Linked DNA regions of Kluyveromyces lactis. The protein of the gene in region 1 interacts with the protein of each later gene in a pairwise test. Links are inferred from orthologs where the notes say so. Each region holds a gene or a part of one and is shown in the gene's direction. Other genes may lie near its edges. The genes, in order: MSB2 and OPY2.

Region 1 (3,936 bases):
TAGTCTCATATATCTTTGAAAACATCGAAGAACATCAATCGAAACAGGCACTCGAGACTGAGCTTACAGAGACGTTCGACGAAGATAGCCCTGTCCTAGTGAGCCGTATATGGGAAGCGATGGAACAGTAGTGGAATATACCATACATGTGAATATACATATATATGTATATGTAGGTATGTGTGTCACATGTCTAATAATGAGATTCTATTACCCGGTTACGTCTCACGTGACTGTCACGAAATTTTTTCGCCCGATTCGAGTGTTCCAGCCAGATCGGGCGGTAACATGAGGTTACTAGAGGTCCGGGTAATCGTGTTTCATATTGATTCGCGTTTTGTATATCGTATATAGCGATACATTCTCAACTTCACCAATTTTTTACCAGATCCAGAACGGTTACAGGAAGAATTGGCAGGATGAGATAAACAAAGGAACAAACATAGAGATTCTATTACTTGTAACTTATGTACACACCTGATAATGGTGGAATTTAGTTTCTGTTTTCGTTCGGGTTGCTTTAGGCAAAAGATAATAAGTTTTTAGATTCGAGATTTATCGTCAGGGTCAAACTTTTCAACAAAGAACGTTACCAGTGGTAATATTTTGGTGTATACATCTTTCTTTTCTTTGTGTTCCTCCATTCATTCATTTATTGATTCATCTCAAATTACTTATAAGTTTTTTATACATTTGATAAGAAGGATCTATTAGAGGTTTTTAATAAAGAAAGATTATCAGAACTGACCTACTGATCCAAATTACCTTCCAATCCTCAGTCTTTAGGAAACTGCCATCGTTTGTTTAGTGAGCTTATACTTTGAACGTGACAAGAGCTTCAGGCAGGTTGAAGTGTACTATCGATCTCTGTTTTTTTTTTCCCCGTCCCATTGTTTGGTGATATAAAATTATTACTTATTATTACGGATTGCCGGTTTGTCATTAGAAAACTTTGAGAATCTCAGGTTTGAACTAAGGCCTTCGGCAAAACTTTGATTACTTTTCCAACTATTTTACATTCTTTTTTCATTTGATTTCATTCGCTTAACACGATGCAATTTTCCAATTTAAGGTTTTTGTTAACCGTTATATTCTTGGGCAACTTTTTAGTATCTGCCCAAGGATTCCTGGATTTTTTCCAGACTTCTCGTTCTGATAACTCTACTAGATCCATTCAGAGTACCGAGACCAGTTCCAGCACTGAGAGCAGTTGGAAAACTACTTTGAATTACGATTCATTGACAGTGGCAGAACCATCCACGTTCTCGCTTTCTTCAAGCACGCACTCTAAGAGTCGTACGAGAAATGGTAATGGCGATGATGATTCGAGTAGTACTTCAGGTACCACTTCTGTGTTGACTCCTTCATCGATCACCTCTTCTGCGATCTCACGTTCTACCAGTGGAAATGGTATCCCATCTTCTGAATACTCGGCTTCCTCCTCGAGCACTGCAAGCGATTCTGCTAGTGTAACTACTCTATCCGGTTCCTCCGCTCTTTCTTCTGAGACTACCTCTTTTGGGACTTCTTCAGCTGAAGATTCTTTTGTTACGACAACTGTTACTGAAACAGGTTCTGCTGAAAGCAGTAGTGATACAGCTTCCTACATCACCGATTCTGCTTCTCAGGTTTCTTCTTCATCAGTCCTCTCGTCCGTGGAATCCTCTTCTACTGAACCATCCACTTTTTCTGTTGTAACATCATCAATTGAGCCTTCTTCAACTGAACAAATTACTTCTGATGAAACGTCCTCAAGTGATGGTGGATATTTCGTTACAACTTTCACTTTCCCTCCTGTTACTTCTTCAACTGAATATTCCACTTCTGATGAAACGTCCTCAAGTGATGGTGGATATTTCGTTACAACTTTCACTTTCCCTCCTGTTACTTCTTCTACAGCATCTGACGAATCTATCCCATCATCAACTACCGATGAATCCACTGGTATTCAATTCCCCACTTCGCGGTCCACAGATGTTTCTTCGACTACTGATGAATCAACTGGAATTTACTTCCCTACCTCAAAATCAACAGAAGTTCCTATATCCACTACTGAGTCCACTGATAATGATTTCTCCACTACAGAATCAACAGAAGTTCCTATTACCACCACTGATGAATCAACAAGAATTTCTCTCTCCACTACAGAATCGACCGAAATTCCTACCACTACGGAAGAACCAACTCCTTCTACTACAAGTGCCGACATCGTGGAACCAACTACCACTGAAATTCCATTAAGCACTACTAGTTTGGAACCTCTACCAGAAAGCAGTACCTCAGAATCTATTCCAGAGCCTTCAACCAGTACTATCCTCACGGAGGAAACATCATCATTGCCAATTGAAACTTTATCGACTTCTGAACCATGGGCTACTGATGACATTCAAATCTCTTCATCAGTGTTACCTCCATCTCAAGATGTTGTCTCATCAGAAACAGTGGTTAGTACATCTGCTCCATCAACAGATACTGAGACATTGGCTCCAACAAGTGCTACTACATCACTTCCAAGCATTGTTACCAAACCAATTGAAGAACCATCATCAAGTACAAGCCAGGTTGGAAGCACTTCCGTAGTTTCTACCGTTGAACCAGTTGTTTCACTACCTTCCACTACTACAGAGCAGCCAGTGTCCACAACACAACAAGTTTGGTTGCCTACTACCATGGTAGCAGAATTCGAAACATCTGGTACTCAATCTACATCTACCACATCTTCAAAGATCGCTACTGAAACATTGCCTCAAGCTATTACAGCTGCCACTGAAATTGTGCAACCTGCAGGATATACGCTAATTACCGTTGGATTCAAGAAGGAGTTGAATTATCCATTTACTGTCAACAATCCCGTTTCTAACGCTCAAATTTTTGAATTTTTGCCAAAGGTTTTGAACTATCCCTTCAATGGGGCCCAAAAATTCGATAATACTTCAGTTTTGGAGTTAGTTCCATTAAAGGTTACAAGTTTAGATTACCTTGTCACTGTTGCAAAAGTATATTTCCCAGAAGATTCTGTCTCGACTCTTCAAGCGCAGATTTTGAACTCTTCCAGTGTCATTTACAATAACGATGTAACAGCATTAAAACAGCTTTCATCGTACATTGATGCCTCTATTCCACTAACTGGTCTTGTCAGTTCAGATTCTGGTTCCTTAATTTCGTCAGATTCTGACTCTGGATCTGACTCTGACTCTGATTCTAGCTCTAACTCTGACTCTGACTCTGGCTCTGGCGGATCTGACTCGACTAAAGAGAAGTCGAGCAGCGGCAGTGCAATTAACTTGGGTTCCTTAGACGATCAAAACTACAACCCAGGATCAAGCAACTATTCCTCTAGTAGTTCAAGCAAATCTTCTACAGGTACGAACGGGAAGACCATCGGAATTCTGGTTGGTTCCATTGTCGGTGGTTTCTTGATAGCCTTGGTTTGCATCTGCTTACTTGCAGTGAGAATTAGAAACAAGAAGAAGCAACTTCAAGCTAATCCAAATCTAGATGACCAACATTCTTACGACAGTTATGATTACGAATCTTCGTTCGATTTTAATCCAGTTGTTGAAAAAGGTAACGTTATGAACGACGACCAGGTGTCAATCAGCCCAAGTGCTAAGATTAATAACTGGATTGATTATAACACTTACAGCGATTACCCTGAAGATGCTGCTTCTGTCGCAAATAATGGGGAAAAACAACCTCAACTTTCAACAAAGACATCTAGTTTGAAAATTTCGAAACCAATTGCCACAGAAAACTCATTAGGTTGGAATGACTTGTAATGGTAAAATTTGATTCACCGATCTTGTATTCTGTTCTTGCTTTTTTCTCCACTAAATGATACCCACGAGAGGGTTGCTAAAATGGTGCTCGACCATTTGCAACACCGCTTTGCTCTATTTTTTACCGATTACGTCCAATAAAGTCAAATGACTAATT
Region 2 (3,320 bases), on another chromosome or scaffold:
TCAACTGATTCATCTTTCAGTTAAACTTTGGAATTTTTTATTTTTCTGTGCTTAACGTGGAACAGAATGGCTCATATTAAAGAATGCAAGCGAATACGGCACATAAAACATCTAACTAGCGGGATTTAGTCTCTTATAAGTTATTAATCTACGGTTCAAGATTGAATCCAGGAAGATGATACCCTTTATACTTATATAGTATCACAAAAACATGAATTAGCTCAAGATATCAATTGATTTCTTCGTTTAAATTAGAATGACAGAAAGTACTTTAATGTCCCGCAGCCGCGATCAGGTACAGATATGTATTGGGACTGTATCGTGAACCCGTTGACTATTTCTGTGTTAACTCTGTGTACGCTTGTAACCTTTTAAGTTGAAGGGGAGGGGAGGCACAAGTGACAGATAATCTGAGTTGCATAACGTATTACCCGGTTGCACCGAGTTACTTTCAAACAAAACTGAAAAGTTTATACACACGTGACACAGAATTCAGGAATCCAAGCTCGAGAATTTGAAAACATTCAGGATCTGATCCGCTCACTCTTTTCTTTTGGAAAATCGCCAAAAGGAAAAGGAAAAGGAAAGACGACTGGCTAGCTTAGAACGGGAAGTACCAAGAGCCATGTATTCAGCCAGAACGTGCAATGAATATGATAGCTAGCTGGATTTTCCAGTGAACGGTATGTGCTAATTGCAATGAAGGTGGTATTGGGTAAGTGAGAGGCCTTTACAAATGAGGAATTTCACGTACTACGGAAGCGGTGAAGTATTTTTCTTGGGCAATGTAAAACAACGTTCAAAGAATTTAGAATTCCGCACGTTGAAACGCTGACGCGATCCAAAAATATAATAGTTTAAAAAGAATCTGAATGGGGTTGTTTCTTGCCTCAGAGGCCTGTGTATTCTATTCCAAAAAAAAAAAATCAGTCGTTTTATAAATTCTGGAGTTGGCCCAATTACAGGCATACATTACAATATAGAATAAAGAGCAGTTTCAATAAATCCATTAGTCAATCAGTTAAAAACTTTTGGTTCACTTTCAGTCTTCTCTTCGAGTTTTGTATTTTCGGTTTTTTTTTTTGGTTCTTCCATAGACAGCGAAAAATCAAAGATTCCATACAGATATCATACTGAACTACTTCCAAAATCTGTTGTATCTGACAAGGAACCACAAGGTCTTTCCACCATCCACCCTTACCGCTAGCTCTTTCTCTATTGTCAAGATAAACAGGGCCATTCCCGGTTTAATATTGTCTGTTGACTTTATATTCATTCTGCTCATCGCGTTCTTTCAGCAGCAGAGCTATTCACCATAGAAGTGATACTGAAATATAGTTTTGGCGATCTAGTACCGGCTTGAAAAATGTCGGAAAGCGTATCCAGTACTGTAAGCAGCAGTGTGTCAAGCACAGCTTCAAGTTCTAGCACTAGTACTGCAAGCTCCGGAACTTCGTTGCAAGATGGTTGTGTCACTTGTGATAACAATGTAACGTGCCCGGAATGTGATGATGATGAGTACTGTGTCACAACATCATTAACGTGCACACAATGCCCAAGAACCTATTGTCAGAAGAAGGCATCTTCAAGCAGTAGTAGTGCATCATCATCATCGTCTGCGGCTGCTATTTCTAGCGGAGCGTCTTCTTCGTCGTCCTCTTCCAGCAATAAGGTCGGACCTATTGTTGGTGGTGTCGTCGGTGGTGTCGCATTCGTAGTCATAGTCGTGGTGTTGGGCTTCTTGTATTACAGATATTATAAAAGAAAACGGTCTGCATTGCCCCAGGATCCCGAATATATGGAAAAAGGTACGAGTCTTGATCCAAACGGATCATCACCGCTTCATCCAGGCATGCTTCGTGTTGGCTCTTCGTCATCACGCGTCAGAGAAAGGAACAAGAGAAATAGAAGTAGCGCTGCCACCGTTCAGACCAGTACCGCATCAAATATCATCCCTGTAGCATATATCCCAGGTGTCACCACGAATCTAACGAAGAAGAATTTGAGGAAAGGCCAAGGAAGAGGTTCAAGAAGATTTTACCAGGATTCAGATCGAAAGTCACATATTACATTGGGGTCCAGTATTCTTGGCGGTGATGAAGATGACGACGACGAGCTCCAACAGAACTTACAAGATTTGAACGAGGAAGAAAGCGGTTCATTTGCAGGGAATAATAATAATGGTGCGGGTGCCACGAATAATATGACTACTGCAATCCGAGCTAGACCGAAATTGGTTCAAATCGATGAAACTGCTGAGGAAGATGAAGATGAAAATGCGAATCATGGAGTAGATCAAGAAGCTGAAGAAGACATCGAAACAGAGGCTAACGAAACGGGCAATACCGATAATCCATCACATTTCAGAGAGACGAATGTTCAAGACAACTCAATTGGTCATGCAGGACACGGCAATGAATCTCAACAGCAACAGGAAGAAGAACAAGGACAAGGGCAACAAGGAGATATACGACACTATAGAAATAGTATGGACTCCTCCAATTCGGACTCACGTGATCCGTTCCATACCACCGTGCATTCATCATCTGACTCAAACAGCGAGGGATCATTCATCTTGGACGTGGAAATGGCAAGTAATCACCATTAAACATGACTACCACTTTCCCTTCCCCACTAATCTTTGGTAACACACCAGTTGTACAATTTTAGATACAGTATGTAATAAGACCTGTTATATCGGGCTAATTCTTGTCAGGAGCACCTGCGTCCTTCGGTATATATGCGAGCCTTTTCCCCCAACAAGCCCCGCAATATACCATAAATCAACGATGCTCTATAAGTTTCCAAATAGAATGTAGGATCTACTGAACCCTGCATGTATATGTCACTCGATCATGTCACAATCTGACTACTTAAAAGAACGTCTCTTAATACGCAATTTTCACTGCCAACATGATTTCCAAACGATATTTGCCAACGAACCAAGAATTATCGGTCCAACTTCGAAAATACTACCTATCCACAGTGTTTTTATATATCTAAGCTATGCTACCCTGGGCTACCCTAGGCTACCCTACCTATATGCTTCCCGTCCGATCTTCGATTAACTCTTAAATCACAATTGCTCACCCAAACATCACATCAGCTTATGCCAAGGGTACAGGCCCTCCACAGTAACCGGAATAACTTACGTCGAACCAAAAAAAGAGGCTAACCCTACTGGCAAACCGTAGTTTCCCCGAGGGAACACAGATACACACATAAATCACATAAATCACTCGGTCAATTGGTATCGACCGATAACTGCAACAGCAAAAACTACCTAGAGGTGCTATTCAGACAGTCACTCGTCGAATATA

What was found.
Region 2: the proteins of MSB2 (region 1) and OPY2 interact in binary tests that used the Saccharomyces cerevisiae proteins (3 or more experiments, as listed by UniProt). The link is inferred for Kluyveromyces lactis from reciprocal best matches to the Saccharomyces cerevisiae genes MSB2 and OPY2.

What each region holds. Positions count from the first base shown.
Region 1 is NC_006039.1:1,596,163-1,600,098, reverse strand, and holds MSB2 (Msb2p), read left to right. Parts: upstream 1-1,052; coding exon 1,053-3,779; downstream 3,780-3,936. Other genes in the region: SNU71 (Snu71p), read left to right, coding at 1-131. UniProt on the Saccharomyces cerevisiae protein: Plasma membrane signaling mucin that promotes activation of the MAPK for the filamentous growth pathway. Partially redundant with the SHO1 osmosensing branch for the activation of STE11.
Region 2 is NC_006038.1:796,402-799,721, forward strand, and holds OPY2 (Opy2p), read left to right. Parts: upstream 1-1,366; coding exon 1,367-2,608; downstream 2,609-3,320.